Daphnia pulex: one gene and its partner. The protein of the gene in region 1 interacts with the protein of each later gene in a pairwise test. Links are inferred from orthologs where the notes say so. Each region holds a gene or a part of one and is shown in the gene's direction. Other genes may lie near its edges.

Region 1 (5,265 bases):
CGACGCGTAGTCCAAGAAATATCAAGTGTTCGCAGAGACACTCGACTCCCACCGCCGTCACCACCTCCCCTTCCTCGTGATCGCTTGGATGACAGACGGGTCGTTGACAGGGGACGTGATGAGAGGTATGTAACTACTAAATGTGTGAATCTTCTTATATTTAATTTAAAAATGCAGCTGCACTCAGTGCTGCTTTACTTATGTGGAGGCAGTGCCATTTATCAGCTCGCTAAATTGAAAACGATTTTATTCCTAGCCTGTAACAAATTTTAACAGGAAAGTCATTCAAATCGTGACAATCCTTGTTAATCATTATCCAAAATTTTTCTTTCTGGATTAATGTACTTAACCTAATTACTTTTTAAAATTATAGATACGATCGCGGGAGCCGAAGCCGAGAAGGTTTTTCAGATCGTGACAGGGAGCGGGAAAGAGAGCGTCCGCGTGATCGAGGAGTAGGCAGGGGAAGTGCAACTGAACCGATACGGAACAACCGCATGCCGGAGAGAGATCATCGTGATCGATATGCCAACGACTCACGTGGGAAAGGTAAAAGCCGGATGGAAAGTGCGGTTGCGATCATATATTAATTACTATTTTGTGGTTTTCTCTTTTGTTCGAATAGATCACCGTTACAATGAGAGAGTGTCTGAGCCCTGGCAGCGAGGCCCTTCCAGTGCGAATGCCCCCGTATCAAGCGGAGGAGTTGGAAGTTCAAAAACTAATTACGGTTCCAATGGAAGCGGTAATACCATGCTGGGCAATGGAGTTGGATTGTCTTCTAACACCAGCTGGTCTGGCAACGGAAGTACGCAACAAGATCGCTGGAGCGCATCGTCATCCTCGTTAATGCCTGTCGGAAGGTCAATGGCGTCGTCTGGATCATTTAATAACAACTGGACTGGATCAGCTCCCCCTCTTAGTGGATCCGCGCAATATAATCCAGCGACAGGAAACATAGGGAGTCTTAACAACCCTGTTATCGGGCAGTCTGGATCCGTTGGCTATTCGGCAGATCGTTATTCGCGACACTAACTTTATCGCATCATATCCAACCGTTTTTTTTTTTCAACTTAGACGTTTACAATGTATGAAATCAATACACAAATTGAACTTTATTTTTGAAATCCCATCAATTTTTCAAGGTAGGCTGAGAATGCAACTGGATTATTTCTAGGAAATTTCTGGAGTTTAGTAGTTCTAAAATCAACAATGGTAGTTTTTAAGGTTTCTGGATAGCACATATAAACATGTCCTTCAGAATGTAACTTCTCAGCAAGTTCTAGCTGGTGATTGCCCATCAGCTTCTGGTTAACCACAACAATTAATGGCTTTGCTACACTGAGGGCCTCAAGACAACTGCCAGCACCAGCATGTGAAATGATTAGGGAGGCTTTTTCCATATCAGAAGAAATGTTTTCTTTAAAATGATAACAAGATATTTGTATTCTTCGTGAAATAGGAATTGGAGGTTCAACACCAAGTCCAATTTGCAGAACAAGATGTGTGTACCCATCATCTTCCAAAATCTGATGCTCAAATTTTATACATTATTATTTACTAGGAAAAATGTGTAATGCAACGTAAATATCGAACATACCTCTAACGTGTTTGGATGCAAAACTTGAGTTATTAATTCGTCAAACTGGGTAGTCCCTACAGTAACAAAAACGATTTTACTTCCCGATTCTTTATGTGTCACACTCATTTCGAACGACAGCAATACTAGTATTTCAGTTCACTTATGGACATTCCCCACAAAAAATTCTCAACTTGTTTACGAAATTGTGATATTTATTATTCAAAAAAACGAATAACTAATCTGTCAGAATGTCAGTCAGCCAGTCAGGCAAAAGGAAAAGAGACGATGACAGTTTTGTTCATATTTTTTTAAATATTATTGAATGAACTCTAAAATTACGTAAACTTTATTAATTTAGAAATTCTTAACTCATAAATGTAATTATTTTTAAGTTATTTAATGAATCATTTCATCATTCAAACTTACAACCAAAAATAAGTAAAAAAATCGATGTTGACCGAAATATTGGCACTTGGCAGCACCGTTGGCACTTGTTTACAGCAAAGACAATTGTCTCATCAGCTGTCCTTAACTGGAAAGAAAGGGTTTTGTACTTGATTGGCGTGACTCTTTGCCCTTTACCGAGTTTTCATACAGGATTACTGTTAAGTTTGTTTTTCAGTCTTTAATGGTAAGTCAAACTAATCTTAATTTTAATGACAAATGGTTTCATTATATAAACATATTTCATCAGGTGGTGTAGGGAGGAAAACGTCATCGTCTTTTCTTCCCTTGGGAGCATCTTGCCTCGAGCCGTCTCTATCGAGTGAGTTGTTATCAATAATGGGTGACGAACAAGCTGGCCCGTCTAGAAAAAATACAATGGACACTGAAAGATCCAATAGCTCGGGAACAAATAGTAGCAAGTCAGCAACAGAAAATGTTCCGAAACAAACATCACTTTCAGCAGAAGAAACAAACAATCACTTGGCATTTGGAAATGGAAGGACTAATCCGCCCAGAACACCTAGTAGGAATTGCCCTTCTATTGATGGTGAATGTCCATCAGGCCATTTTGATGAAGAGGATTTGGACATGCCAGAATTAGAAACTCCCAGCCCTGTCTTGATGCCGTCACAGCTGCTCTCACCCCCAGTTGCACTCCACTATGATGAAACTTTGCCATTGACTCTTCAAATGCCAACAAGTATTAATGTCAGTGTTAACTTGCAACCTTCAGTGTACAGTCTGTCTGGACCACCAGATCCTGTATTCCTTGACGACAGTATGGAGAGTGGGGAGAGAGAGATCACTATCACTCGAAATCCTTATTTCGATCCCTCTCTCTCACCTGGCCCAGTCGACGAGTTTCTTTCTCTTGCCTCCTTCAGTAGCCACGTCGATGGCTTTCACTTTGGACTGGAGGAGGCACCAGCACCTCCCCATTGGGCCAACAGTAACCGCGTAGAATCTTTTCCTCCAGCTGCTGCTTCTGCTGTAGCAGCATCATCTTCATCATCTGATGTCCGCCGAAAAAGACCGAATACAACTCAACAGGATTCAAATTGCAACGCATCGAAGTCCAAAAAACAAGCCGAGACTTCTGGTGGAGAACCTGTACCCGGTCCATCGGGTATCGGAGTTGCAAGAACGGTAACTGGCGATGATGGCCCAGTTGCTGATGATCTACAATTAGAATGTCTGACTGACGGTTCCTCCTCTGCTACCGAATCAGACATTGACGATGACGATAGTTGCATCGAAGTAGTAAGCGTCCGACCTGGTCTATTGCGTTCTCAGCATCAACCCGAAGTCGTAGATCTTACCATTTCAGAAGACGAAACGTCGACTCCCAATCCTTCTACATCGTCGGGCTATTCTCGTTCTACTGGGAGACAGCCCAAACCATCGTCGTCTGTAAAGTCAAGAGCTATACCTAAAGCAGAGCCTCCAATGGCACCAATACCGGTTGTGATTGAAGAGAACAATCAGCCAGACGCTGAAGTAAGACGAGCATCGCCGGCCTTTGTGTCCGTTACTCCATCGTCCTCTGCAGGAAACCGCCCAGGTGCTTGGTGCGGATGTCCAGGGCAGTTTTACGTGGACGGAGGACGGCCCACGCCCATGGGTGTAGCTTGGCCAAACAATGGTAATCCAATACGAGCACATTACATTCCTAATCAGTCTCTTCGACCATCTCCGCTAGCTCATCATGCCACTGCCTTTTCGTATACACCACCACCGCCAGCTTATCACCATCCTCCACCACCGCCAGTTCTGACTCTACGTTTGCCGTCAACCGTTCAAACCCACGGTGGAGCTCGTTCGCCCGTCTGGTGGAGTTATCCAAGTATGGCCGTTGAAACAGTAGCCACTCCGTCACCTCAACACGTAGCAGGAGATGGATCTTCTAATCAGGCTGCGGCCATTCCACTGCAACCCAGTCAGCTGGTTGAAGCCACTTCTGTCGCTCAACCTGCACCCGTTTTCGTTCCTCAAACAACTGGTATTTACCATGCGGCCCCCACTTCACGACCCGTGGACGGACGTTGTACGATGCCGCCTGCCATTGCTCGAAGCTTCATGCGTATCCATCCCATTCACCAGAGGATTTGGCATTCACAGCACCGCTCGCAAGAAGCTCTTCGACGTCATATGGACATGGCACAACGTGTCGCAGCTGGAGAAACCGTCGAAGTTAGCGGTCCGTCATCGATTCCGGATTCTCCGATGATGAGTCAAGGCATTCAAAATCAACAACAACCCACTGGTTTCTCTGGTCCGCCTCCTCCATATCATCCAGTTGCACTGGAGCGCAACAGCAGTCCTTCGCCACAATTCAGAACTGTTCACGCTCCCGATTTGAGTAGCCACATGATGCCGGCCGTTCAAGCTGAAATTGTCGTTGAAAGTTCTCCTGTCAATTTAGATCCTCGCCATCACCATTTGCCTCCTCCTCCTGCCTATGCTTTTGCTCCGTCTTACCACCACCACATTGCCCATTTCAGTCTGCCTGGCAATTTGCATATCAGTATAGGTCCAGGACCAGCCATCCCGCCCGCAGTACCACCACCACCACCTCGAACCGTACCAATGGAACGCGTTCCACCACCTGCCATGCCCGGTGTTCAAGGTGCCGCAGCAGTCGAAATCCAACCAGCCCATCAGCAGGAGCAACCTTACCACCGTGGCTACCCGTTGTACATTCACCACCAGCAGCACGGTCACCACCACCATCCTCCACCACCATTGATCCCACTGGGCAACAGTCCATTCTTGAGCGGATCACCACATCACTACCCATTTTTACGTCCTTCAACGCGTTTGGAAGAGTACATGCGCTTGGTGGAACAGCGTCGAATGGCCCAGCTCTCGCGTGGTGCCTCCCAGACGTGCATCGAACGCAATACTCTGTCGCATTCGTACAAGCGTCTCTTGCGTAGCAACAGCAGCGTTGATGGCGACAGTAATGAAGACAACACCGAAAAGTGTACCATTTGCCTGTGTGAATTTGAGGAAGGTGAAGATGTCCGTCGTCTACCTTGCATGCATTTGTTTCATGTCTCTTGCGTTGACCAATGGCTTACCACTGTTAAATTCTGTCCACTTTGTCGTGTTGATATTGAAGCCCAAGTGGAATCGAAAGAGCAAGGACAAGGGGATTCTCGTAGCTGGAGCTCGTCTTCAACTACTCCTGAAGGAGCTACTCTCCGTATACCTCCAGACGCAACCGAAATGGAGGC
Region 2 (5,010 bases), on another chromosome or scaffold:
ATTTGGGTACCCGCAAAATATCTCCAGTGGCGCAGTTGGTTAGCGCATGGTACTTATACGACAGTAATAAATGCAAAACTAACAATAAATTAAAGATAAAAAGTAATGCCGAGGTCGCGAGTTCAAGCCTCGCCTGGAGAAATTCATTTAGTTAATTTGCGAAATAATTTTAAAAAATGTTGATATTCGTTATCCAAAATGTGTGTATTGCGGTTTATTGATTGGAGCAGTGTTTGTTATACCTAACTCCATCGCTAGATATCGATAATAGTGTTTGTAGTTTGACTAATCAAACCTTTTTCAAAATGACTATAACTTCAAATTAATTCTTAGCGTAATATCGATCCTGAGATTTTTTAAATGAATGTACAGTCGAATTAAATAATTATTTTTATGTTGAATTGAACCTTAATTGCCTCAGAAATTGAATACTCTTATCGTCACGGTATTTTCAGAAGACCGTCGTGAGTTGGAAGTAATTTTTCATCATTTGCAATTCTATCGGATTCGATCTCGGCACATATGAGCTATTTAACTGAAAGCTCATGCCCTACACGATTGAGCCATGTCATCTGTCGTGCTCGGAGATAATCAAGAGAATGTACATTTTTAATTGTGTTGGAAACTTTTTATTTGCGCCATAATAGAAACCGTGTTATAAGACATCCGCAGTGTATCAGAATGCATTATGCAATCTGACTAAACAAAAATGGCAAATGTTTGCAGAAAAATATTAATTGAATTAAGTTTTGGGTCCTCTCAAAACATCTCCAGTGGCGCAGTTGGTTAGCGCATGGTACTTATAGACAGTAATATATGCAAAACTAACATCAAAATAAAGATTGAAAGTAATGCCGAGGTCGCGAGTTCGAGCCTCGCCTGGAGAAAATTATTTAATTAATTTGCGAAATAAATAAAAAAAAATGTTGATACTTCGTTGTTTCCCACTACTGTCGCCGAGACAATGAAGAATCGATCAAACAACGTCGATTCGCTCGACTTGCGTCACTCACACCTATTGCATAATGTGTTACGTCAATATGACACTGCTGTTGTCACTATATCTTGTTAGTCCTTAAAGGATTCGCAACTGCCATAAATATCTCCAACTGAAAACAATACTACCGTTACGCTTTTGTTGTCACTTGTAAAAGATAAGGGCTCCCACCTTTTTAAAAAAACATCAACGTCTCAGTTTTGTTATAATACCATATGTCATCAATCGATAACTTTCTGCCTTAAGGTTATATAGGAGATGTACAGTACCCAGTCCCAATTAGCTGACGCGGGACACAAATTAGACAGTTAGCAGTGACATTGCACGACAAAGGAGGTTAAGGAAGACGCAACTTGGCCCGTTTGCGTAGTTATTGTTTCCGCTCACGAACCACAAAAGTTCAGTGAACGTTGGAATCCCCCAACTTATTGACGTTTGTTTTTTGTCTGCGTGTGAACTGGAAAAGAAAGAAACTCGCTGAATCAGAGATGAAGGGCAATCTTATTTGCGACGTAAAAAGAAATAAACGACGATAAATGTTTATTACAGGCAGTTTCCACGGTCGTTGAACTCGCAACTTCCGCATCTGCTTTCCGCAATTCACAGCGTTCCGCACAACTGCGTCTGCGAAATACCCAGACGTTTTTGGAGGAAGAAAACAAAACATGTCATCACATCACTCGCGTTTCACATGTTCTCCTGCTCAGGTAAATATTAAATAAAAAAATGCTTCAGTTTAATAAGTGTGAACGTATTCAGAATGGCGAAACGTTAAAGAGCCGCCTGCAATTATCTAGTCGTAGTTGGTAGAAAATGAAACTCGAGGAACCTTCGGTTGCCATGTCAGCTTGTCCTTCAATCTCATCATTATTTGGACTTGTCCTTGACATTTTGCTAGTAAAACTTTTCTTTTAAGTAATATTCTTGACTCGGTTTGAGGTTTCGGAAGTCTTTTTAGCGGTAAAAATAGCTATACTGCTCTGGAGATGGTGTGTGTTCTTGAAGCTTGCTAATCGGTTATGGCACAGATTCAACCAACTGCTTCCTTATTCTTCCCAATTGAGTCACCTGAGAAAATGAAACCCTAGAAGAGAGTTCTGACTTATTGGCACATGTCAGTTTGGCACATGTCTGGTGTGGCTTTGCACGGTTCACGTGAAGTGAAACCCTGCAGCGTACTGTCAAACTGGTGACATTTCCTTTCTATAAAAGGAGAAAGCTACATAAGTGGCAAGTTAGTTCTTGGATCGGTGAGTATAGTTTTCGCATTACTTGCTGGTGGTTGTGTCTCACATTATTGGTGCCCACTGCGAATATGAGTGACAAATCCCTGACTCAATCGTGTGTTCTTCAGAGACAAGAGGTTAACCCTGATTGTTGCCGAATAGATCAGTATCTAAATAAAACTCAATTTTTTTTTAATATTACAGAAAAGGCTGCAAAAGGAGCTTGTCTCCTTGATCAAGGAACCTCCTCCTGGTGTTGTGATCGATGGAGAATCTGTGGGCCAGAGCCTGGACTTGTAAGATTGACTTGACATTTTGTTGGACAAGTGCATCACACTTTTTTCACTTTATTTTTTTCAAATCTCACTTCCAGGTTGGTGTTGAGTATTAATGGAGCTCAAGGAACGATTTACGAAGGGGAGCAGTTTCAGTTACAGTTTCGTTTCGGACCAAAGTACCCTTTCGATTCGCCCGAGGTAACACCTTTCAGTCAACGAATTGACCAAAACCAACACGTATGTTTTACTCATTTGAGACCACTCTCTTTAGGTTGTTTTCGTCGGATCGGAGATCCCTGTCCATCCGCACGTCTACAGCAACGGTCTGTCTAGCGTGAAACCCTTAAAAGATGGTCAATAATTTAACCGCGGCTCTTTTCTCCAACCTTTTCGGTTATTCAGGCCACATCTGCCTCAGTATATTGACCGATGACTGGTCACCGGCTCTGTCCATTTTTTCGGTCTGTGTTTCCATTATCTCAATGCTCAGCTCTTGTAAAGAAAAGGTCAGTTTCAATTGTGTGAAAAAGTATCTTTCTCACCCATCACTCATTCACGACTATTGACCCGTTAGAAGAGACCACCGGATGACAGTATGTACGTGAAAACGTGCAGCAAGAACCCAAAGAAAACCAAATGGTGGTACCACGGTGAGTTTGAATGGCTACCGCCTAAACCCGAGTTATTATTAATCTTTTTTAACCATAAATCATTTCCCAATTTGCCAGACGAAGAAGTGTAAAACGGGTTGATATCTCTCCCCCTCGATTCCCGCTACGAAAAGAAAAAGAACCTGTTTCACGCTGGCGATGCTCGCGTCAGAGACAATCTAGTCGCCAAAAAAATACGAAAGAAAACAAAAATGGATTTTCTTTTTTCAGTTGTCAAAATTTTCCACCCTTCCGAATCGATCGCGTTGATTTCCCATTCCCGATATTGACCTACTACTTCCTCGCATAACGAAACAGTTCCTCTCTGTCTTGATTAATATGCGGTTGATACTCTCCAATTTTTGACTTGTAGCAATATTCACGAAAAACTACAGATGTGTAATGTTTCACACTTTTGGCGTTTGATTTTTCGACTTTTAATCGACATCAAATCTACGAAGCCTTTTTCCCCCCTTCTACTGTGTTTTATCTTACCCCCACCCATTCTTTAAATGTTAAACGAAAAATATTTCGCTCGTATAAAATTTGTTTCAACTATTATACTCAAATTCTTTTTCATTTCACGTTTGGAAGACAAAAAAACTAAACGATTTGAATTAGCCAAGTAAATAATGAATTGTATATTTCTGAAATGGTTTCAAAATCAGAGGGTAGTAGGGCGCAAATTTTGTAATCGACTTTTTCTGTTTTATTATCCTTTTCGAGAACATTTTTTGATGTGTGTGTGTGTGTGTCTTGTGTGATGTTTTTGTTTCGAAAGAAATAGAAGAAGAGATTAAAGTTCGTTTCCGACAGCTTTTTTTTAAGACTCCGCTATAACAACAGCAATGAAGGGCGTGACAAAACATACTTTTGGGTAAACGTAGAGATTAATTAAGGTGGGCGACTTGAAAAAAAATGTCATTCGTCAATTAATGATCGTATTATACACACACACACCATGACTCATGTTAATGTTAAAATAGCCAGTCATATGAGGAGTGTATATATAGCGGATATGAGCTGAAGAAAAGGAGAGGAAGAAAGGTTTTTTGACAAACAAATTCTCCTGGGTAATAAAAAGGGAAAGGTTTAAAAAAAAAAAAACAATTTAACTTTTTTTTTTCGTTTTTTCTTTTTTTTTAAATCAATTAATAAAATCAGAAAGGAGGAAATCTAAAATGATTGAGCGCTGCACGGTATTCCGTCGGACGTGTACACACTGAGAAGAAACAAATCCGCCGAGCTATTTTATCCTTTTTTAAAAAATAATAATTACAAAAATCCGAACTGCATTTTTTAAAATTCATTAAGGAGAAACGAAGAAACAATTTTGAAATTGAAATAGAATTACAAAGAGAGAGAGAGAAGAATAAGGAGGGCAGGGGGGGGATTGGTATACATAACAGCTCTGTGCGAGCTCCGGTATAAATAATTGACACGAATTTTCTCTCTCCAACCACACACACACACACGTTTTTCTTTTATTTAAAAACAGACAATCTATAATAATATATTTATATATATTTTTCATGTGTGTGTGGAGGAAGGAAAATTCCTAGGAAATATATCAAACAAAGATGGAGAAGAAGAAAGAGAAATATATATAAAAGTCACATCCAATCAACTAGAGAGCTTCTTCTTTTTTAAGACAAGAGATAGATAAACCTCACACATCACTATTACAGTTGTTGTTGTTGTTGGGGGGGGGGGGGGGAGTAGAGAGAACTTGTATGATACACGAAATACCAAACTGTCGATATTATCCAACATGATATTATAAAACTTTCCTCCCGGCAGAAGAAAGAAAAATCATTTGTGTGTGTGACGTCATAATATCGAAGCTCTGAGCGGGTTGA

What was found.
Region 2: the proteins of E3 ubiquitin-protein ligase Arkadia-like (region 1) and ubiquitin-conjugating enzyme E2 W-like interact in a two-hybrid assay, tested with the Homo sapiens proteins (2 studies listed by BioGRID and IntAct). The link is inferred for Daphnia pulex from reciprocal best matches to the Homo sapiens genes RNF111 and UBE2W.

What each region holds. Positions count from the first base shown.
Region 1 is NC_060024.1:8,994,521-8,999,785, reverse strand, and holds the start of E3 ubiquitin-protein ligase Arkadia-like, read left to right. Parts: upstream 1-2,052; 5' UTR 2,053-2,213; intron 2,214-2,276; 5' UTR 2,277-2,365; coding exon 2,366-5,265. Other genes in the region: SAFB-like transcription modulator, read left to right, coding at 1-125, 374-549, 626-1,035; UDP-N-acetylglucosamine transferase subunit ALG13 homolog, read right to left, coding at 1,116-1,535, 1,601-1,708. UniProt on the Homo sapiens protein: E3 ubiquitin-protein ligase. Required for mesoderm patterning during embryonic development. Acts as an enhancer of the transcriptional responses of the SMAD2/SMAD3 effectors, which are activated downstream of BMP.
Region 2 is NC_060027.1:2,994,784-2,999,793, reverse strand, and holds ubiquitin-conjugating enzyme E2 W-like, read left to right. Parts: upstream 1-1,775; 5' UTR 1,776-2,312; coding exon 2,313-2,360; intron 2,361-2,427; coding exon 2,428-2,519; intron 2,520-2,596; coding exon 2,597-2,699; intron 2,700-2,772; coding exon 2,773-2,824; intron 2,825-2,903; coding exon 2,904-3,007; intron 3,008-3,075; coding exon 3,076-3,151; intron 3,152-3,229; coding exon 3,230-3,243; 3' UTR 3,244-3,956; downstream 3,957-5,010. UniProt on the Homo sapiens protein: Accepts ubiquitin from the E1 complex and catalyzes its covalent attachment to other proteins.